Linked DNA regions of Rattus norvegicus. The protein of the gene in region 1 interacts with the protein of each later gene in a biochemical or structural test. Links are inferred from orthologs where the notes say so. Each region holds a gene or a part of one and is shown on either strand. Other genes may lie near its edges. The genes, in order: Lgals3bp, Lgals1 and Lgals3.

The links.
Region 2: the proteins of Lgals3bp (region 1) and Lgals1 form a complex in vitro, tested with the Homo sapiens proteins (2 studies listed by BioGRID). The link is inferred for Rattus norvegicus from reciprocal best matches to the Homo sapiens genes LGALS3BP and LGALS1.
Region 3: the proteins of Lgals3bp (region 1) and Lgals3 form a complex in vitro, tested with the Homo sapiens proteins (4 studies listed by BioGRID). The link is inferred for Rattus norvegicus from reciprocal best matches to the Homo sapiens genes LGALS3BP and LGALS3.

The regions. Positions count from the first base shown.
Region 1 is NC_086028.1:104,123,607-104,131,401, forward strand, and holds the start of Lgals3bp (galectin-3-binding protein precursor), read right to left. Parts: upstream 4,243-7,795; 5' UTR 4,108-4,242; intron 2,400-4,107; 5' UTR 2,379-2,399; coding exon 2,327-2,378; intron 603-2,326; coding exon 411-602; intron 283-410; coding exon 151-282; intron 1-150.
Region 2 is NC_086025.1:112,362,810-112,370,677, reverse strand, and holds Lgals1 (galectin-1), read right to left. Parts: upstream 4,984-7,868; 5' UTR 4,948-4,983; coding exon 4,939-4,947; intron 3,722-4,938; coding exon 3,642-3,721; intron 2,457-3,641; coding exon 2,285-2,456; intron 2,086-2,284; coding exon 1,939-2,085; 3' UTR 1,877-1,938; downstream 1-1,876. UniProt on the Homo sapiens protein: Lectin that binds beta-galactoside and a wide array of complex carbohydrates. Plays a role in regulating apoptosis, cell proliferation and cell differentiation. Inhibits CD45 protein phosphatase activity and therefore the dephosphorylation of Lyn kinase.
Region 3 is NC_086033.1:23,096,479-23,104,059, reverse strand, and holds the start of Lgals3 (galectin-3), read right to left. Parts: upstream 4,018-7,581; 5' UTR 3,818-4,017; intron 1-3,817. UniProt on the Homo sapiens protein: Galactose-specific lectin which binds IgE. May mediate with the alpha-3, beta-1 integrin the stimulation by CSPG4 of endothelial cells migration.

The DNA.
Region 1 (7,795 bases):
GTCCCTTGCCCGTAATCTAGCCCTGCTAGAGAAGCTTCTCTGGCGTTAAAGTAACACGGGGGGCTCTCTTGGAGGACGCGTGCTCCCAGCCACAACCACAGTGCCACTTGCAACTTTGTTTACACGGGGGTGGGGGGCAGGGCAGCTCACCGTTGGAGCAGACCACGCCCGCGTCCTTCTCATGCCCGCAGTGGCTCACCATCCAGCCCAGGGAGCTGCAATTGGCCAGTGACGACTCGTTCCCTGTGCATTCCACCTCATCCAGCATGATTGGTCCCTTTCCTGTGGGCACAAAAGGAAAGCCAGGAGCCGCTTGGAGTAGGAACCGGACCTTTGGCGGGGACTGGGGCTGCTCACTGGGGCGCGGGAGGGGATGCCTGAGGAGCACTACTCAGGGACCTCAGCCACACCTGGCCCGAAGGCGGCTCTGCTCAGTGCTTGAGTAGCATTCTCATAGCCCAGGGCCCGGCAGACGACGTGGGCATCCAAAAGGTTCCAGAGGTTGTCGCACACTGTCCCCCACCGGCCTCTGTAGAAGATCTCCACGCGGCCCTCACTGGCTGAGGCCCCATTAACCAGGCGCATGTCTCCATCCTTTGCACCTGTCAGGAGAGTGGAGATTAGCTGGGAGGAGGGCTAGCCTGGTCTGATGCCCACTCCCCGTGTACTCAATGCTCTGTGTGCTCTCTCGTTGAGCAAAGGTCACCCCAAACAGGGTGGAGTGGCCTTCTGGAGATGCCTTGAACCACTTCAAGGGGCCCTCCCCGCACGTGCATTCGTGTGTGTGTGTGTGTGTGTGTGTGTGTGTGTGTAAGGTTACCCACTGAAGGGCTGGAGAGATGGCTCAGTGGTTAAGAGCTCCGACTGCTCTTCCAGAGGTCCTGAGTTCAGTTTCCAGCAACCACATGGTGGCTCACAACCATTTGTAATGGGATCAGAAACCTTCTTCTGGTGTGTCTGAAGACAGCTACAGTGTACTCACATACATAAAAACAAATAAAAAAAATCTTTAAAAAAAAAGGGGGGGGGCTGGAGAGATGGCTCAGAGGTTAAGAGCACTGACTGCTCTTCCAGAGGTCCTGAGTTCAATCCCCAGCAACCACATGGTGGCTCACAACCATCTGTAATGGAATCTGATGCCCTCTGCTGGTGTGTCTGAAGACAGCTACAGAGTACTTATATATAGTAAATAAAGAAATAAATCTTTAAAAAAAAAAAGGGGGGGGGTTGGGGATTTAGCTCAGTGGTAGAGCGCTTGCCTAGGAAGCATAAGGCCCTGGGTTCGGTCCCCAGCTCCGAAAAAAAAGAACCAAAAAAAAAAAAAAAAAGTTACCCACTGAAGAAGAGTGAAAACTCTGATGAGCCCACAGAGGCCATGGTCTATCTAGCTCTCATCTCTGGGTCTTTTTCTCCAAGAGGACACCTTGGCTCTCAGCCTACTGAGTGAACTTGGGGGGGGGGGGAGAGGCTCTTTCCTGGCTCTCTGAAACGCTGGTATGAAGGGGAAGGTGGGTCCTGGGTTCCTAGACACAGGCAGAGAGCAGATTAACCTCGGCTTACGATGGGTGATGTCTTGACACCCCAGTGCCACCTGTCTCATGGCCTCTGGACTGTCCCCACTCAGCAACAGGACATTGCCATGCTGCCTGCTCCCTCCAAAGTGTGGGGACGAGGGAGCTGTGGTGTGGGGTCCCATTGTAAGAGAGGAGCGGGGTGCACAGCGCTGATATCCCAACTCGCACATACAGTTGCTACCTCATCCCTACAGTGTCTGCCTAGAGGGGACAACACTGGACTAGAGACAGTCTGCCCTCAGGCACAGGTAGCCAAGGGAGTCCTGCTCCCTGCTCTCTGGGACTCCCGTCTCTGTCCATGCCGGCTGGGTGCTTGAATTGGGGTCACCCATGCTAGAGCGAGATACTCAGCTGAGGGTCCAGGATGGGCAAGGCTTTCAGACCCATGGTGCAGTTTGTAAACTGTTCCACAGGGACTCTCTGGCATTCTAGCCTGTGACCTGAGAGCTCAAACTCCAGGACAACACAGGCTGCACTCTCCCTCCTTGGCCCACTGATGAGGTGAAAAAAGATTCCTTGGTCTCTTCTCCAACACCTGCATTTCGGGGAGGGGGCAGGGCCCATACAGGGCCACCATTCAGAATGACTGAGGATCCACATGGCAGAGAATCCTAAGACATGGTGTCTTACAGGATGCCACCTGGCTTTTCTGCAAAGATGGGGAGGGGGTGTGTGTGTGACCCACACAGAACAAGGCACCAAGGCGCACGGTCTTGACTTCTGTTTTGGACCTTTCGCTGAGCAGGACTCACCTTGAGTCCCTGGAACCAGCAAGAACACAGAGAGGAGCCACAGAAGAGCCATTGCCTGACCTGGAAGCCCAACCTGCAGCAGAAGGAACAACAAAGTTAGACTGGCCACAGCTCTCCGGAGGAGACTGGTAGTTCCATGGTCCCCTGTCAAGTTTGTGGAGGACAGGATGGTGTTGTGGGTGGTCCCTCTTCCGTAAGGCCCAGATGGCCATGAGATGACCCTTATGCAGGCCTCTCTCTCACATGCTCTATGGGACAACCTTCAGGACAGTAAGTCTCCCCAGATGAGGCAGGTGGGTTGAGGGCTCCTGGCAACGAGAACCCAGGAAATAGACAAGAGGCTATCCCTCAACGGTTGGTCTTATCTTCAGGCAGCAGCCCCCTTCGGGGTGTGCCCCAAAGGGACAAGATATGCCAGTCTGGGAGGGTGTTGTGGATGAGGTTGGAGCAGGGAACTCTCAGGAGGAAGTGACAGAGACAGTTGCAGAGGTCATGGCGTGATCTGGGGATGAGTGGGAGATGGGTCAGGGTCAACTGCCAAGGTGCTGACACACAGGGACTCAATACTAAGACTCTCTCGCCTGTCTGTAGAATGGGCCCCACCCAGGCACTTTCTCTCGGGCCCTGCATGAAGGGGGCTGACCTAGAGAGCAAAGTGCAGCAGCCCTGGTAGACTCATTCTAGTCCCGAGGGCAGTGAGGTCGGGGCTGGTAGTGGACGGTGCTGTAGAGCTCTGTCTCCTGGGCAGGAACTCAGCAACGAATCTCAAACTGTTTTGTTACTCAGACCAGGGGCCCAGAGACCAGCAGTAGAGGTTATCCCAGGATCAGTAGAAACACCAGGATTGTCCTCCACCCCAGACATTCTGTACCAGAGCAGCACGAGCAAGACCTCAGTGATCCAGGGCTCTTGTAGCCATCTTGGCAAGGGTGAAGATAGTCTAAGACAAACTCGTGCCCTTCCCTTCGGTTATCGTACTACTGAAGCAAGGACAGAACTGGAATTCCCCCTGGGAGTCTCATGCTGAAAGGAGAAAGCTGTTGCCTGGTGACAGCCGGAGGGGAAGCTTGTCTCCAGGAAATATCAGCCCAGTCTGGGATTTACAGCCCAGGCATAGGGCAGACCAGTTAGCTATACATTCCTCTATGTAAACCTCATGTTAATATCCCCTATAGACTCTGGGATGTTAATGGGGGAAGGCCACTGGACTCTTCTCAGTGTGGCTGGCGGAGTCTGGCTACCAGGGGAGCATTCTCACTATAGGCTCTGACCGCTGAACTCTATAACTCGATGATGGGTGGGAAGCTTGATCCTTAGTGCTGTGCACCCAGTCTTATCCCAAGGAGGTCTGGGTTCCGGGAAACCTGAGTCCCAGGCAAAGTGCCCTGGGTGCCCACCCCCTCCATTTACTATAAGCTGTGGTTATAGGGTTTGTCCATGCTGGGTCAGGAACTTTAGGCCTTGGGAACATTGCAGGGTATGTGGACATTTTTGTCCACTGGATGACAGGGGCTGTTTCTGCCTGACTCCTTTGTGTGGGAACTTGGGATGTGCCTGCCTATGCTGGCTCATTCAGTACCACTGTGTAGGTCTGTTTAGTCCTGGGTGAGAATCCACAGACCCAGGAGAAGGCCGAGGGATGAACTGTACCCCACTCACCCCTTCAGTTGTTCTTTCAGTGAACATCCTGCCTAACTGTTTAGAGGCTCTGCAGGTCTAGGTGTTCCTGTGTTCTGCGACCCCCCCCCCCAGAAATTATGCTGTGTAGAGCGGGGACTCACCTGGGAGCAAGAGACAGGTAGTCAGTCACCTGTCCAGGCAGCTGCTGCAGATGGTCCTGGAGCCTCCTTGCTGGCTGCAGCTCGAAGCTTTCTGTAGACTGTTCAGCTGAGAAAGGCCCCACCATGTGGTTTTCCTCAGCCTCTTCCCCGGAAATGCTTTATAAACCTAGTCTAGTTTCGATTTCCAGAAAACACATGACGGAGGCTGCCTCTGGGGTTGGCTGCAGACAAGGCTAATAGCCCTCTGCTTGCTGCTCTGCAGGGAGGATGGCAAGCACCCAAGTGCCCTGTGCTGAGCTGATAAAACAACAATGTTGCGGCTGAACAGATACATGTCCAGGCTGGCCAGGCAGGCACCCTGGGAGGGCAGCTTGGAAGGGGATGGAACAGATATATCCCCTTGCTGGCCTGGTAAGCACAGTGGGGGGCAACTTGTCCAGGCTGGCCAGGCAGGCACCCCGGTGGATGGTGAGAAGATGCTGCAAATGGGCCGGGGAGCAGAGGCTCAGGTCACACAGTGTCTGTGAACATGGATGTGGGCTGCACAATCCTTTCCTGGATCTGGGGAGGCTGGCTGTGCTCACTGCACAAACCTTCCGTGCTCAGAGCATGCTCGGAGGGAAGGTATGTGGGCCACAGAGTGGTCCTGAGGGATGGGAATCGAGATAGAAAACAGGAAGCAGGGCTAGGAGCTAGGGGTGGCTTGCTGGTTAAGAGCATTGCCTACTCTCTCGGGGGATCTGAGTTCAATTCCTGGCACCCATGTTGGTTGGCTTGGAACAGGCTTTAAGTGAACTCCATGGGATCAGACTTTGTAGGCACACACATACACCCAAGTGTGCTCATGCATGCACACACGCAGTGCACATACGTTTAAAATTTAAATCTTAAGAGGTTTCTTTAATACCTGTGGTGGCAAACACCTTCAACTGGGAGGCAGAGGTAGGTGGATCTTTGATAGTTAGAAACTAGTCTGGTTTGCGTTGTAAGTTCTAGGTTAGTCAGAGCTACGCAAAGAAAGCCTGCCTCGAAGGAAGAAAAGGAGAAAAACAAACAAACAAAAAACCCAAAACAACAACAACAACAACAAAACTAACAACAACAGAGATGGTAACCTGCAGCCAGCCAATCTTGACACTGTGAGTTTGATCCCTGGAACTCACTGCAGGAGAAAACTGACTCCTGTAAGCTGTCTTCTGATCTCTGTATGTCTACCATAGCCTGTATGTGCATGCACGTGGACACACACAGTAAATAAATGTGAAAAATTATATAAAATTCAAAGAGGACTGGGAGGTTGCTCAGTGGTTAGGAACACTTGTTCTTCTTGCAAAGAACCCAGGTTCCCTTAGGAACTCCCACATGGTTGCACACAATCACCATAACTCCAGTTCTAAGGGATACAACGCCCTCTCCTGATCTCCATGGTCACCAGGCACATATGTGGTGCACACACATCCATGCAGACAAAACTTCCAAATATATAAAATACATTAAAATTAACCTTATGATAGGTTTATACAGTGACCTAAATCCCAACAGCTCCCTGTGGCTCCCCCAGCTGCCAGCCCCATAAGGTTTACTACCTCAAGACACTCAACTCTTGAATGCTATTCAAAACGTCCGACACAAATGACCCAGGAGGCAAAGTCAGGTGACTTCAAATTGGTATAAAATCACCCTGTTCCTTTCTGATGTATGGTTCAGGAATTTACCTGCTGTGTTTCTGTCCTTGGTGTCTACTTTTTTTTTTTTTAAGGATTCATTTATTTTATGTGTGTGAGCATTTTGCCTGCAGGCAAACACACCATGTACATGTGTGCCATACACCTGTGCGTATGGTGGCCAGGGTATCAGGTTTCCTGGAGTTGGAGTTACAGACGGTTGTGAGCCGCCATGTGGGTGCTGGGAATTATACCTGGCTTCTGTGCAAGGAGTATTCCTTATCAGTTGAGCCATCTCTCCAGCACCACCTCCCAAGTGTCCTTTATTAAAACTTCTACATCAATTCTGGTCTGGCAAATCCTTTTATCCTGTGCTTTGAGCTCTTTGTCCCAGGTATGACACCAGGGAGGGAGGCCCCGAGGTCCTCTAAACCCAGATAGTAACTTGTGAGTGGATACACTGGGGTTCCATACACACCTGACTCGATAATGCGATCTCCCTCCCAATGGCCCCAGGGACCCTTTAGGGTTCAGACCACCACAGGCTCTGCCTGGCTTACACCCATTCCCCTTCCTCCACAAAGACAGACAGACAAACAAACAAACAAACAAACAAACAAACAAACAAAAAAGCAAAAGACCGGGTCTTGGTTTCTACTCGGGGAGTCCTCAGTCAGTGCAGCTCAACCTGGGCTGGCCATCTGGTGTTCAAAAGGCCCAGGGAGTTCTGGGGTAAAGCCCTTTTGGGTTCAGCAAAAGGCTTTTGGCCTCAGAGTTCAGGGGTTGGACACTCAAGGACTGGCTCCCTTGGATGTGAAGTTTCCATTGGCTATGGGGTCATTCAGTCCTGGGAAAACCACGCAGAGAGCTACAGGCAGGGATCAGCCTGACTCTGCAGATGTCCAAGCTTGTTGAACCGGGGGCTAACTTGTGGCTTCTGTCACCTTTGGCTGAGAGTGTGAGAGGGAGAGTGGAGGTGTACCCTGGAGAAGAGAAGTGGGGGGGACAGTCAGCCTACCTGGACTGCCTGCCTGGTGGCTCCAGGAATCAACAAGTCTCTTTGGTGCCTCCATCCTGGGGCAGGCCCATTAATCACCTGGAGCCCGGGACCTAGGCTTCTCCTGGGGGAAAGGATGCCAAGTTACAGAGGCTGTCACAGGGTGTGTAGTCTGTGGCAGGCCCAGTTGCTCTATGGTTCTCGGCCTTCCTAATGCTGTGACCCTTTAATACAGTTCTTCATGTGGTGGTGACCCCCACCATAAATAATCTCATGGCTACTTCTTCACTGTAATTCTGCTACTGTTGGGAATGGCAGTGCAAGGATCTGATGTGCAACCTCAAAGGGGTCATGACCCACAGGTTGGGATCTGTGATGGTTTGTTTGTATAAGCTCGGCCCAGAGAGTGGCACTATTAGAAGGTGTGGCCCTGTTGGAGTGGGTGTGTCACTGTGGGCATGAGATTTAAGACCCTCATCCTAGCTGCCTGTAGGTCAGTCTTCTCCTGGCAGCCTTCGGATGGAGATGTAGAACTCTCAGCTCCTCCTGCACCATGCCTGCCTGGATGCTGCCATGCTCCCACCTTGATGATAATGGACTGAACCTCTGAACCTGTAAGTCAGCCCCAATTAAATGTTGTCCTTACCAGAGCCTCCTTAGTCATGGTGTCTGTTCACAGCAGTAAAACCAAAATTAAGAAAGAAGTTGGTACCAGGGACTGAAGCATTGCTGTGATTGGCCTGACCATGCTGGGTTTTTGTTTGTTTGTTTGTTTGTTTGTTTTTAAGAATGTGTATTTGGAAGGGTTGGGGATTTAGCTCAGTGGTAAAGCGCTTGCCTAGCAAATGCAAGGCCCTGGGTTCGGTCCCCAGCTCCGAAAAATAGAAAAAAAAAAAAAAAAGAATGTGTATTTGGGGGCTTTGGATTTGGAAAGCAGTGGAATGCTTTAAGTGGAGCTTAATGGGCTAACCTAGTAAGAATATGGAAGACTTTGTTGCTGGGAGTAATTTGAACCGTGCAGACCTGG
Region 2 (7,868 bases), on another chromosome or scaffold:
TATTATTATTATTATTATTATTTGTAATTTATTTCACTATATAGGTGTTTTCCCTAAGGAGGTCAGAAGAAAGCATTTGATCGTCTGAACCTGGAGTTACAGACAGCTGTAGATGGCTCTGAGCTGCTATCTGAATGCTGGGAATTGAACCCAGGTCCTCTGGAAGGGCAGTAAGTGCTCCTACCCACTGAGCCATCTCCCAGCCCCACACCTGTGGTGAGCCTTACAACCTCCCTGTGAGGTCATCCCTTCCTTGTTCAAGATCAATGTTTAGCTTCTAGGGTAAATTGTGAACACAGGAAGACAGTCTGAGGCACATTTTCTTTGACCCAGCAGAGGGCCATTCCTCCACAGCCACACTTGGGAGCCTCAGAAAAGCACAGTGATTGGGGTGTGTTTCATGGGAGCCCAAGGCTTATGTATTCCATTCTCTTTGGCCTTCTCCTATGGGTACCCCCACTTCCTGGACCCACCACCATGAAAAGTCTTCATCTTGCTGTGGATTGGGAAACTGAGGCTGGGGGATGGACCCTACCAAGAGGGTGCCAGTTGTCCCAGAAAATGAGATGGCACATCTCACAGGCACCCACCTCCCAGCCTCAGGATATGAACCCCGGATTTGAGAGCTGGAGAGAGCCCAGTGAGGTTTATAGTTGAAGCCTTCCAGAACCTTGGCTCAGTTCCTGCAGCTGTTTCCTGGGAAGTGGTGACACTGGTATGGATGAACAATGGTGGCCCACCGGTTTGATGCAGTTAATTGCACTGGATGGGGCAGGCCTCAGCTAACAACCACATCCCGAGGCAGCAGAACCTGAGCTGAGGGCAGGGGAAGACACCCACTGCTCTGGAAGGCAGGAGCAAGCTTGCAGTGAGCCACCTGCCCTCTGGAAGACCTGCTTCTGGGCCTTCCCATCCCATTCCTCACCCCACGTCTCCGAAGGGACCCACTCAGAGCCCCCAACCACATTACAGGGCTGTGACCTCATCCTGGATTCCCATTGTTAGGGAGGGGATCTGTTCAGTGCCACAGAGTTAGCAGCTTCTAGCCTAGGCCTCTAGCTGCCCTTTGACAGCAGAAGAATGTAGCCGAGGATCATAGGACTAGGAAGCCTGCTTCACATGTGCTCCTCAGCTGCTGGTGCGTCATTTTGTCCCTCAGAGACCGTCTCTTCCCCTTCCCTTTGTAGGCAAAAACAAGGTAGTAGTGTGAGGGAGACCAGAAGCTACCCACATGGCATTGGCCATGATGTACCCAGAGCAGAACTTGGCTTCCACTAAAATCTCCTTTAACTCCACGACCCTCCCGAGAACTGCATAAAAATGATAAACTAAGGCACAGAGAGACCAGCTAACAAGCACAAGGCCACACAACAGTTGTAGCCCCTTACCTAGTTCAAGATTCCTCCGTTCTATATGAAGTCATGCTATGTTGCCCCAGCTAGCCCTAAGTGGTCCTCTTGCCTCAGTCTCCCAAGTAGTTAGCAGTACAGAACTGCACAGCTAGTCCCAGCTGCCTCCAGTATGTAGACCAGGCTGTCCGGAATGGTCTCAAACACACGACGATGTGTCTGTCCTGGCCTCCTAAATTTCAAGAATGTGTCACCATGCCCTTTCTGGCCTTTATGGAAACAAATGAAGTCCTGTGTTCTGTTCATTAGTTCACCTCCCACCATTCTGCCCTGTTGCAGTGGTACACTGGTTCACACTCTGCGGTCACTAAGCCCCCTCTATGTGCTGGGCTCGCCTTAGCCTGGAGAGCACAAGAAGAAAGGTCACTGGGACCAAGAACACGTGGAGGAGTGAATGGAAGTGCAGATGGACCAGGTTGGGCAGGGCCCCTCACATAGACATACACAAACACTCACACACGAAGGGCTGGGTTACAGGGAGCAGAGGCAGCTGCCTTTATTGGGGGCTACGGGCTGGGGCTGGCTGGCTTCACTCAAAGGCCACACACTTAATCTTGAAGTCACCATCCGCCGCCATGTAGTTGATGGCCTCCATGTTGAGGCGGTTGGGGAATTTGAATTCATGCCCGTCTGGCAGCTTGATGGTCAGGTCAGCCTGGTCAAAGGTGATGCACACCTGGTGGATGGAGAAGGGCAGTGAGCTGGGGCCTGGACCAGCTCAGAGCCCTGGGGATGGCCCCTGTATAGGTGAGGTCCATTATGTTCAAAGAGGGATGCCATTCAGTGGTAATCACACAGCCAGGACGGATCAGCCTCCGCCTCTGACCACATTGTGCAGTCCACCCAGGGCCCTGCCCAGCCCCAGTCCTACCCACCTCCGTGATGCTCCCAGGCTGGAAAGGGAAGGCAGTCTCCCGTTGTTCTGTTCCCCAGGTCCCATCATCCTTGCTGTTACACACAATGGTGTTGGCATCTCCATGGGCGTTGAAGCGGGGGTTGAAGTGTAGGCACAGGTTGTTGCTGTCTTTCCCCAGGTTCAACACAAAGCTAAGGATGACAGGTGGGCTTTAAGCCGTGTTGCATGGCTCTAGCCCCTGGCTGGCTTACTGAGAAAATGCAACATCAGCAGCTGGCCACTAATGTGCCCTGGTGAAACTCAGTCAACAGGAAGGCCAGGAACCTGGATTCTACTTCTGGCCTCACCATGCGAACTGAGCTAGACCCTGCAGATTCTCTCTGACCCACATTTCCTTCCCTGTCTGTCAGTCAGAGGGCTTGTCCTGAAGGGAGCTCTCTCTCCCAGACATTGATCGTTGTCACCCATCATCTTGTGTATCTGAGTCCCTGGTGCTGAGCACAGAGTGGGACACACCATAGATGTTCCCTCACTGTGGAGAAAAAAGAGCAAATAATAATTCGGAGTTTGCTGCACGGAGCCTGGCAACAGTGCTCACCATGGAGGTATGGGTGGGAAGAGGAAAGAGGGCTCGGGAGCTTACTAACATCTGACAACAGACAGCAGCAGCTGCCGCCTTGAAACTGGCCCCTGGCTCTCTCTACTCCACCACTTTTCCTCTGGCTTTATTAGGAAACCTAGGCTCTTAGGGGTGTGGAATACGGAGGTGCACACTTTCAATCCTAGCTCTGAGGAGACGGAGGCATGTGGGTCTCCGTGGAGGCCAGCCTGGTCAACATAATAGGTTCCATGATAGCCAGGGCTATAAGGCAGACTCTGTCTTTGGAAAAGAAAAGAGAAAAAGTCGAGACCTCTTAAGCTTGGGTGACTGGTCCAAGCTCACATGGCTGCTGAAAAATTAGGCGGTATGAATGAGGGGAAAGCTCTGGGGGGGAAAAAAAATTGAGCTTCAGCAGGGCCGCCGCAGGCAGCAGGCACGAGGGTGACCACGCCCTCCTCGCCCCCCCCCCCCGCGTCCCCCTCCTTCTCCTCGGAAGGGGCGGGGGCAAGCTGGAGTTGAGGCAGCAGCTGTTTTAGTTTAAGAAACTCCAGCGGGGAGAGAGGAGGTGGGAGGGAGGGGGAGACCACGGCGATGTCGGTCGACCAGACCCGGCGAGGAAATGACTCACCCAGAAAACGCAGCATCTGCAGCTGCCCATTAACCCGCGGCGGGGTTAGGTAGGGGGGGGAGAAGCGGTTCTGGCCGGTCACGCCCATCGCATTTTAGGTCTGCGAACCCCGCCCCCTGCCATCTCCATTCCTTTCTCCAATCTCACCTCTTGGCGTCCGGGGCCAGCTCTCCCCGAACTTTGAGACATTCCCCAGGTTTGAGATTCAGGTTGCTGGCGACCAGACCCTGTGTAGACAAGACCACCCAGCTGTGTTTAGGTTGGAGTTAGGAGCGACCTACAGTGGCCTGGGGTGTGGGAATGGGGTCATTTCCACCCTGGGATACCCTGACCAACCCTAGGGGAAGCCCAAGGTAGGATGGGTGGTCAGGATAGGGTGTAGGTTCTAGTCTTGATTATCCCTGCAGTTGGAGAGAGTCCCCATTCCCAGCAGGGTGTCAAACTTGTGGCTGTCCTACAGAACAGGCCCTAGAAGATTCACCCATCATCAGCTTGGGGATCTGGACTTAGAGTGGAGGGGAAGATGGCATATGACCACCTAAATCCTCATTTAGCTGATGGACAGGGTTAGGCGACTACTAGCCCAAGGCCCTGCTTCTCTGAGAGAATGCAGCCCGAACCTCCGCAATCTGATTCAAGGCTCTCAGTCCAGAGGCACAGCAACTAGAGCGGAGAAGCTAAGAGGCGGGCCTGCTCTGCGGGAGAGGACAGACTGAGAGTGGCAATGTGGACTTAGTAAGTTAGAGAGCCCAGCATTTATCTGGGCATTGCGCGCAGCTGCCTGGGTGAGTGCACAGGAGTTAATTTGGGTAAGGAGTTTCTTTGACATTTGAACCCCATTCCGGAGGGCTTGCCTGTGTGTCTGTGTGTGCAAATGCATGCAGTTTCCTCGGCTCAGACCTGACCAGCTTCCACTGACCAGCCTGCCGCCTATCTCGGGCCCAGGAGGTGTTTTTTGTTTGTTTTGTTTTGTTTTTTTTTTTTTCTCCAAAAGTTTTCTGGAGCAGAGGGTGACCAACTGAGCCCTGGCTCTGTGATTGGGGACAGCTGCAGCGGGGGAGGGGTCAGGAGACTCTAGAATAGAGCAGAGGGAATAGTGAATGGCCTTGGACAAAATGTCCCCCTGCCTCCTTCTTCCTCGGAGGCCACACCCTTCCCACTCCCACTTCTCAGAAAACTACAAAGTGGCAGAGTACTGGACCTTGCAAGACATGCCACAACTCAGAGAAATCCAGAACATTCTTAACCCAGAGAGGCTGAAAGTTTCAGGGGGGACTATGACAGCCACCCCCATTTTACAGATGTAGCCAGTGAGGACCAGAGAAAACACCTGTCCAAGGCTGCACAGCTGGGACTAGAAGCAATTTCCCAATTGGCTACTCCCCTGTGTTCATCTGCTTCTGCTCAATCCCCTAGACCTTGGAACAGAGGGTCCCGCACTCACACAGGCCATGATTGAAGCGAAGAGATTCCTGCGACCTGCTCCACCAGCTGTCAGAAGACTCCACCCGAGAGATGGGCCCCAGGCCCGCTCCGACCTTTTTAACTGGATCAGACCCGGTGAGTCCCGCCCCTCCCCGAGAATTCAGCCAATTGCCTGTCAGGACAGGGCTGGGGGTCACCAGAAGCGGAGTCAACGGATTTATAAAGTCAATTTGGAGCAGAGGTGACCAGTCAGAGAGGAGAGCCCCTCTCTTAGTCCCTCCCTCAGGGTCCAGGCGCCGCCTCTTATTCTTCTTCATCCCTCTTCCCACTAAAAAAAGATTTGTGCTGTGGCAGAGATTGGGGGAGCCAGTGGAAAATAGTTTAAGGATGAGTTAAGCTCAAGAGTTGGCGGGATGGGGCCTGGGGCCAGCAGGGAGAAAGCCCCTGAGGCCCAGCGCAGCTGGTGGGGAAGGGGGTGTATAGACACCCCCCCACCCCCCACCCCCCACCCCACCCCCGCCTGCAGAGCATTAAAGCAATCTCTTAAGAGGCTGCCGCCTGGCAGGCCAGGGTGTGGCTCTCACTATTGCTCCTTCTGTGGGCTTCTGCGGAGGGCTGAGGAGGACCACAAAGCACAGGCCCCACCCGGGTTTTCCCCGGAAGCAGAGGACTGCCGCTGCGGCTCAGTGCTGCTCACTAGGGCTGGGCTGGGCGCCAGGCCTGAGACTATGTCCTTGGCTTATACCTTGGATTTCACCCCACTGCAGGGCCTGGCTGTGACATCCCTGGGGCCTGAGAGGCAGACCTCGAGGCAGCCCAGGATGTGCTAGCTTTGCACCCTTGGTCTCATTCTTATTTTTGGAGAAGAGACATGGTCATCCCTTCCCATCCATTTAGCAGTTATTTTCCTGAGCACCTACTATGTGTCTAGCCCCGTGCTGGCCTCAGAGAAGATGAGCCTCTCCTAGTCTCTGCTCTCAGAATTCACGGGTTGGAAAGAATCTGACTATGAGCTGAAATAAGAAATAACACCGTGTTGGCATCGGGCAGCCACTCACTCAGGCCGGGTGAAGATGGGCATATGAAGCAGGGGCTGGAAGCCCATGCCTGGGGAATGAGCTGCTTACCATGTAGAAGAAAGCTGAGAGTTAAGGATTGTGAAGGGTCTCATTGGCCAGGAAAAGGGTTTTCGTGTTCGTTTACCTGAGAGTCCTGGGGAGCTACAGATAGTCATGGGGTGATATGAGACTTAGGAAGGCTCACTGAGCAGAGCGGAGGGTTTGAGATAAAACAAGGCACTTCAAGGGTGCTCTTGCCAAGACGCCTGGACTCCTCCCGAGCGCTAGAAGGTTACTGAAAGGGCGAGTTTGCCCTCTCTGCCTTTGTCTTGTATCTGTCTCCTTTCCTTTGGCTCAGACTCCGCTTGACTCAGCCTTCCTGACCTAACCCTTCTGAGCCAAAGGCACAAAGACAAGTCACTGTCTCAAACCAGCCCAGCAAAGACTTGTGGGGCAACTGCTTCCCCACATGAGGGCCGGTGTTCCCCAGGTAACTCTGTACAGCACACCCCCACACCCAGGAGCGGGAGTGACCCTCTCCCGAGAACCCACATGTCCCCTTAAGCGATGCGACCTCTTTGAGCCATCTTACAAGGCCAGTCTGCTCAGGTATGCATACCTCTTGCTGTCTGTGCCAGTTCTTCCAATATTTAAACTTAAAATACATACAATGGTGGCTCGTGCCTGTAACACCAGCACTTGGGAAGCTAAGGCAAGACAATTAGGAATTCCAGGCCACCATCTGCTACATGAGACACTGGCTCAAACAGCTAGCCAGGCAGTGATGGTACACACTTTTAATCCCAGCATTCAGGATGTAGACACAGGCAGATCTCTTATGAGTTCAAAGGCAGCCTGGTTTACAGATTGAGGTTCCAGAATAGTCAGAACTACATACAGAAACCCTGTCTCCAAAAACAGGGTAGCCATATTGAATTAATCCTTTTGTATTTTTTTTAAAGATTTATTTATCTATCATATATATGAGTACACTGTAGCTGTCTTCAGACACACCAGAAGAGGGCATCGGATCTCTTTACAGATGGTTGTGAGCCACCATGTGGTTGCTGGGAATTGAACTCATAACCTCTGGAAGAGCAGTCGGGTGCTCTTAACCGCTGAGCCATCTCTCCAGCCCGTGTATTTTTTACCATTGCTGCCCTAGCCTCTTTTTAGACAAGAGTCTTTTAAAGATTTACTTATTTTATGTATCTGAGTACACTGTATGTTACTGTCTTCAGACACACCAAAAGAGGGCATCAGATCCCATTACAGATGGTTGTGAGCCACCATGTAGTTGCTGGGGACTGAACTCAGCTCTTAACCAATGAGCCATCTCTCCAGCCCTAGACAAGTCTTATGTGGTACAGCCTGGCCTCAACTTGCTGTGCTAAGGATGACTTTAAACCTCTGTTTCTCCTGCTCCTGCCTCTCAAGTTCTGGGATTTCAGGCCTGTGACAACTCAGTCTTGATGGGGACTGAACCAGACCTTCACTGGTGCTAAGAGATCATTGTACTAAATAGTTATTTCTTTAATGGTTGTAGAAGCCAAGCTCTACTGGTTGGCTATGAGAGCCCCCCTCTCCTACCCAAAAATCTCTGGTTAGCTAGAGGGGTATTCAGCTCACACTGGGGAATCAGGTGGTGGTGGCGAGGGCAACAGGGAGTCCATGTTGCCATTCCCCTTCTGAAACTGCCATCTTGGAAGAGTCGTAAAGATAAGGAATCGTGAGTCACATCTGGAGGCCAGGCCAGCAATCCTCCTTGCCCTACCCAGCCTTTCCCTCCCAGGCTCATCTCTAGCTCCTTCCTCCAGATGTGGAAAGCCCACCCAGAATGGGAGGAGAGGGGAGCCTGCAGGGCACAGCGGAGATGCTGTCAGATCTGCAG
Region 3 (7,581 bases), on another chromosome or scaffold:
CATTGTGAGATCCTGTTAGGAAGTGGTTTTGAAGCTCAAAGTGGACAGAGAACTTAGCACTTCTGATTAAACCTTTCCCCACCCCTTCAGCAATATCTCTGGCTTCAAGCCGTTAGATGCCGGTGGCACACTGCCCTGTAACTTGTGACAACCCAAAATGTTTTCAAAGGTGGGAAAAATCTCTAAGGCCAAAAATCACCTCTGGTTGAATTGAAGACTACCAATTCAGGCTGTCAGTGTCTATCCCTAGATAAACTTACATACAAGGGGCCATAAAAACCAACAAGGAATTTTAAAGTAGCGAAGGTTACCAGGGAGGATGGTCACCACCTGCCACCTCAAGTCTAGGGGGGGCTGAGGTAAGAGGAGCAGAAATGTGGAGCCTGTCTAAGCTGCACAAGCAGACAAACAAGAGCAATCCTCTGCTGGGCATGGTGCCACACACCTCTATCTTAGGCTGAGGCAGGAGGATTGACTTTACCGTTAACCTAGGCCACAGAGCAAGACTGTCTCTAAAAACTAACCAACGAGCACTTCCCCATAAAGAAACCCTTTTCCCCTCTTAAGTACGCTTCAGTTTTAGTTTGTTTTTTGTTTGTTTGTTTGTTTGTTTTTTTCTTGGAGCTGAGGACCAATATGCTTCAGTTTTGTTTTGTTTTGTTTTGTTTTGTTTTGATTCTTTTTTTCGGAGCTGGGGACCGAACCCAGGGCCTTGTGCTTCCTAGGCAAGCGCTCTACCACTGAGCTAAATCCCCAACCCCTGCTTCAATTTTAAGAGACTTGAAGATTTACAAGTTAAACTCTTAGGTCTGAAGGGTCAAATCACTGTTAAATAATATGTCACTCAAAAGAGCCTACATGGGAAAACAAACAAACAATCGAACTTTCCCATTCTCCTCAAAAGGTGCTCTATTAACAGAACACCAGTCAAATTCTGTTTAAAGAGTGATACATCTAGAAACGCTAAGAGATACTGTGCAAAGCCTCTGATCAAGGCTGGCTGGCTCCATCTTCCAATCTGACCAAATGAAATCCCAAAGGCAGCAGATTTCACTGTGACTCACGTGGGCCTTTGGATGATGTCAGGGTAACGACGCCCTCCCTGCACTGTGATTTTCAGTTCCCAGAGAACTTTCACTGAGCTGTTCTTTTGTTAGCAATCTGGTAACGCTGGCTGGAGAGAAAATATTCCCACTGTGAAGTGAGGAATCCGAGAGCTCATTCAGTGGCCCAAAGCATTGGCATCCTGGGGACAAGAGCCCAAGTTTCCTGACCCTAACTCAAGTCTGACCTATATTTGTTTAAAACTGTACATTTTTGATATTTTAAAATAGAATCCTTGGAACTTTTTAGTTACATCCCTGAAAATTCAGCTTGTTGGTTCACCCAGAGCGACACGACTGAAATAGTAAACAGATTTAAAATAAAAAGGAGCTCTGGGCAGACACTGACTCGTGAGTCATTCACTCAGTGACTCGTGAGTCATTCACTCAGTGAGTCAATACACGGGCTGCTGGGTATAGAATGCTTTTGCACACAGCCACATTGTTAAGAAAAACCACATTTTAACCAATACACTGCATTTTTCCAAAAAAAAAAGTATTCATTGTTTTTAGTTAGAATTTTCTTTACAGTATTTACTTCTCAAATATAGATTTTTTTTAAATTGAAGTGTATCTGTGTGTGTGTTTGTCTCTCTGTGTGTGTCTGTCTCTCTGTGTGTGTTTGTCTCTCTGTGTGTGTCTGTCTCTGTGTGTCTGAGGGGTGTGTGTCTGTCTGTCTCTCTGTGTGTGTCTGAGGGGTGTGTGTGTGTGTGTGTGTGTGTGTGTGTGTGTGGTGTTGTGAATGTGTGTGCAGTGTCTGTTGTAGCGAAGACTTAGATTTTGGCTACTGAGGGTGCTGGGCAAATAGGCACCCGAATCGTCAATAAGACTGACCTAGGACACGAGTTCACTGGCAAGAAGTAAGAAGCTTGTTTATTTATTTCAAGGCAGGTCTGTCTTACTCTTTGGCCCCGGCTGGCTTGGAATTCTACATGTAGTCTACACTGGCCTCGAACTTGAGATTCTTTGAGTTCTGCTTCCTGAATGTTGGGATTATAGGCGCTCACTCCCACACCCACCTGAGGAAAGGTTCTTTGGAAAGCATCTGTGCAGACCCAGGAGGCAGAGGCAGGTGGGTATCGTAAGTCCAGGCCTGCCTGATGTATGAAGTTCCAGCCAGTGCTACTTGTGAGACCCCCATCTTGAAAAATGATAAACCAACACTTTTGACCCAGTGAACTCTCTCACTGATTGAGAACCCTCGAGCCAATCCTCAAGCAATTCTCTACCCCTTCTGCTTTGTGTACAATTTAGTGAGCTGTCCATTAAACACTTCTAAGCATAGGCCTGAAAGACCCCATCAGAGTCCTCTCCAGAATATGGAATGAGTGCAGATTTCAAACCAAACTCCTAAACATTGTGAATTTAGGAAGCTAGTCCCCATCAAAGAGAAGTGTGACTATCTTAGGAAAAGAGTCTAGGGTAAAGATGGCCACATCTATAATCCCAGCACTCAGGAAACCATGGTAGAGAGAGTGCCATAGGTTCAAGGCCAACCTGAGCTCTGAACTGAGTGTGAAGCCAAGCAAGGCTATATTGTAAGACCCTATCTTGAGAAACAAGCAAAACAAAGCAAAAAGTATCAGTGACCAAGAGGACAATTGCTAGGTGTGGTTGTACTGGCCTGGAAAATCACAAGTTCTAAACCAGCCTAGACCACGTAGGAAGACCTTGTCTGAACAAAAAATTCTTTCAGTCTCAAGGTCTTGACCTGCACCACCCCCACACCAAAGGCTATTGTTGCAGAAAAGCAAGCTTTTCGTTATTAAACGTCAATATTTAGGGAAACAGTTGGGGGTGGTAGTTTAACATCGTTGGTCCCTGCACTTAGGACACTGAGACAGGATTGAAAATTGAAAGCCAGCCTGGGCTATGTAGTGAATTGCAGACCTGCCTAGGCTGCAGTGGCATCCTGCCTCCCTGTGATGGTTTGTAAAAGCTCAGCCGGGGAGTGGCACTATTAGAAGGTATGGCCCTGTTGGAGTAGGTGTGGCACTGTGGGTGTGGGCTTTATGACCCTCGTCCTAGCTGCCATGCTCCCGCCTTGATGATAATGGACTGCGTCCCAATTGAATGCTGTTCTTCTAAGAGTTGCCTTGGTCATGGTGTCTGTTCACAGCAGTAAAACCCTAACTAATACACTCTCCCTTCCCCTCCAACCCCCCCTAAAGTAAATAAATAAAAATAAGGAAGTATAAACTTGAAGCAAACAACTTGGAATGTTAGAAATTGGTGAGTTTTTGTACATTGTGATTCCTGTTGTTTTTCTCAGAATTAGCCGGGTCACTAAGTCCAATTGTTATCATCCAGAAACCCTACTCTCCAGGGATTGCTTTACTAATATTCTAGTTTCTAAAAATAGGGGTCACTTGCTTCCTACTAGGGTTAGCCTAAACCACAGCCGCGATTCCCCCATCATCGATTTCCCGCATTCCTGTTGGAGTAACAGATAATTCGGGATAAATGCAACTTTCGAAAGCCTCTAGCTTCTGCATTCTGAAACAAACACCACCACACCCAAGACTTCCTCCACCCAGACCTAGAGTTTATTGCACAAATATGCACCGGTCAGGGATAAGTCACTTGGCTTACAACGAATTTTAGAGGTTACTGTAGTTCTCCATCCCGGCACATGCGCACTAGAGCCTGGACAGTGTGTGTGGTCAGTATCTAGGGAGTGGCTGTAGCTCCTACCTCCGCTGAACCTGACTCACCGAAGGAGCCTGCTGGCCTGAAAGCAGGGCAATGTCTGCCGAGTCCTCAAACTCCCACCCGCAACGTGCCAAGAGTGGCACCTGATTCCTATGGCCAAGCTAGGGGCAACCGCTTGGAGCCAGCTACAAGGTGGATCTCCGTAGGTTGTGGTTCACTCGAGCTCAGGGCTTCGAAGGCGTGCCCGGGGCCCGCTGGCATCCTGCCGTGCCAAAGAGAGTTAGTGTGTTAGGTCGTGACTAACTCTCTCCGAGAGTTACCCGCAGGAGAACCAGGGCGGTGGACCGGCACCTGGGACCCTGAGGTCACCTCCCGGGCTGCAGAGCCTGGGTCCTCCATCTCCCGCGAGCCCAGCCCTTTCTCGGTGCACCGTGCAGCACCGGTCCCCTCGCCCCGTCGCCCCGCGCCGCTCACCTGGTTAGTGCTCCTCCTGCCGCTCCGCTAGCTGTTAGAGCAGGGCGGTGGCTCGGCGGCTTCTAGTACACTTTTGCCCGGGCCCGCCCTCCTGGGGCGGGGCAGCATCCCTCGCCCTGCAGGCGCCTGGCTGGACCGCACCCTGCGGACCCCGGAGCTTCCCCGTGGTGGACAGGGACACACCCGCCAGCCTATGTCCCTCACCTGTGCCGGACAGTGGACCCTGGCTGTCCACACCCAAACTCTCACACTCACCCGATTCCCTCGTCTGAAACTGCCCCTCATGGTCTCATCCTGCCCCTATTCCCTTCACCGGAAGCCTTCCCTAGAAATGTGCAGTGACTTTGAGTGTGAGGGGAGGGAGGACCAGGTGTCCCTGACACATCTGAGATGTAAGAGGCGCCTCCCCCCCAAGATGTTTTCTCAAAGATTATAGGAGAGTACAGCACGACAAAGTTAAATCAAGGGAACAGGGTGTAGCTCGGTCTGTATGAAAAGTTTTTACAAGAAACAGCCGCTTTTGCAACAAGGCTGATAACCAGTTCGGAAGCATTTATATAGATAAAAACTGAGTGACGTTGTTAAGAATATTCAAGATAATGTTCCCCCGGTTTCAGATAGCATCAGCTAACATCCACCAAATGGGTATGCACCCCATCCTGTGCCTAGGGCTTTAATACGTTTATGGATTTGGCATTATTTTAATCCTATTAGGTCCAAAGCAGTCCCCGAAAAATGTCAGCGCTGGTCCTAAACAGAAAGACTCTGGCCGATCAAACAGAAGCTTAGAAGTGTTTTCTGTTGACCACGAATCTCCCTTAGTCTGCCCCCAAATGTCAACTACCTTGGGCAAGGGTATCTACTTCCCTGTCAATCCCAACAGCCTGTAACAGCTCAAACCGCTCCCCCCCCTTCTTCTGACTTCTCCCCACCCCGGGGGGTGGGGGGCTGTTTGTTGCCTTGGTGGTTTGAGCCCCATTTTTCTCCACCCACAGAGTCAGTTCGGTTCAGTTTGTTTTCACTGTGCCCTTGCTCACTAACCCCATTTTAGACATGAGAAAATACGGGTACGAGAGTTAAGAATGATCCGCTAAGGCCACCTGCTGCAAAGCCTCACAGCCTTAGTTTGATCCCTGTAACTCACTCACGAGGAAAGGAGAGGACCAGCTCTTAAATGTTGTTGTCCTTTAACCCACATACATACACATGCTCACATGCATATGTGCAAAAAAAGAAATGCACTTTAAAATATTAAAACAGGTAAATAAAATTTTAGAAATAAATGAATGGGGCTGGAGAGATGGCTCAGTGGTTAAGAGCACTGACTGCTCTTCCAGAGGTCCTGAGTTCAATTCCCAGCAACCACATGGTGGCTCACAACCATCTGTAATGGGATCCGATGCCCTCTTCTGGTGTGTCTGAAGACAGGGACAGTATTGTACTCAAATAAATAAAAAGTGAATAAAAAATATTTAAAAAAAAGAAATAAATGAATGTTTTATTTTTATGTAGGTGTGGTGGTTCCTGCCCTTAACCCTCCTGGGATCTGCATGCTGTTGGGATGCAGAAACAGGCAGATACCTTCGAGTCTAAGGCCAGCCTGATCTGTATCCCTGAACTAGAGGCCACCAGGGATACACGGTATCCCTGTTTCAAAAACAAAAGTTAAAAACCCCAAGCAATCACTGGCTTATGTAAACCATGGAGCAGGCCAAGTGTTACCTGGCTCCCTGGATTTCCTGTAAGCACTAAGGTAATCAATTATTGGTGTGTTAATTGATAGTCTCAGCCAGTTTCCCACAACCAGAGGGAGTTTGCACGCAAACCCTCACTCAGCAGTGGCGCTGAGGAGGCCTGCTCTGGTCTCTAGGATAGATTTACAAGCTCTGCAGAGCCTGTTGCTGGGGATGCATTCATTGCTGCCCCCCACCCCACACACACACACGGAAGTCACTGTGTAGCTGGAGAAGCATTTGGACGCCATGAACTCTCCTCTACACAGGTAGCCTGGCAACCAATTAGTTTGAATGAGTCATGTGTGGATGATTAGCGTGTGGGTACTGAACAGGATGGGCTGAGAGGAATGTCTTTCGTCTCTTAGGAAAACACTTAAAGTCTTAGGACTGTGAATCATGAGACACTCTCTGAAGGTTAGCTAGAAGTGGACAGCCGAAAAGGTTGCTATAGAGATAAGAGATGAGTCACACACACTCTTGCCCTGTGGGTAATCGTTGGTCATTTTTAAGGATCGATTAAAGTTGTGTCTTCGTTACTTAGAAGGCTTACTTCTTATGCCAAGCTGAATCATGAGGTCAGACTTATGTCTTCACTGTCCATCAAAAAGAACACTTTTACGCCAATTTTATGCCAAGTAAAGCTAGCAAAAGGGTCTTGCTATATATCAAGGAGTGTCCGGAGTTTACGATCTGTATAGGAGCAGTAAATGACTCTTTAGAACCCAGCCCAAAGCCTATATAAACTCTTTGAAAAAAAAAAAAGTACAAGACAATCTCATAAAATATCACGGAATGACTTCTAGATATGGATGGTTGTGCTGTTTGAAGTGAGGGGCAAGCCTGACCTGGAGTCTCACTCAGTCACCTGGTTTCTTCTGATACAGAGATGTTAGGAGTCTGACTTAGTAAACGAATGAACAAGCCAACCCCCCCCCCCCCGCCAGCAGCTCCATACAGAGCGAGGAGGTGTGTGTGTGTGTGTGTGTGTGTGTGTGAGAGAGAGAGAGAGAGAGAGAGAGAGAGAGAGAGAGAGAGAGAGAACAGTAGTCAGTCTTTAAACAGGGAAATTAAAATTGGAGAAGGCGGCTGGAAATAGAATAGGAAAATAATGGACACAGACCATCAAGTTGGAGGCTGGTTAAAAATGGAGTATCAAGTTAAGGTGTCTCTCCCACCGAGCCTGATTGCCTGAGGTCAAGCCCCTGGGGCCAGGCAGCAGGAGAAGAAAACTGACTCAAGCACGCTGTCCTCTAACCTCCATTCATGGGCCGCAACAGGCACATGTCCTCCCACACACCAATAACTAAATGAAATAAAAATTGAAGCGTGAAGAATTATGAAATACAGCCAGAAGGAGAAACTTCCCAGAAACTAGCTACTCTGTGCCAAATAAGGAAAAATGCCCCACAAAACTCGAAGCCCTAGGGAAATATAAACAGAACCACATTGACGGTAACTCTCATAGAGAGCAGATGGTTAGAACAATCAGGAAAGAGAAAAGGAAAAGATCTTCCCAGTTGTCGTATCTGGTCCACAGAGAATTTCCTGGTTCTGCCTGTGTCCACGTCCTATCAGCACGTCCAGGTGACAACTGAGAAGCAGAGCTGACCTGGGGA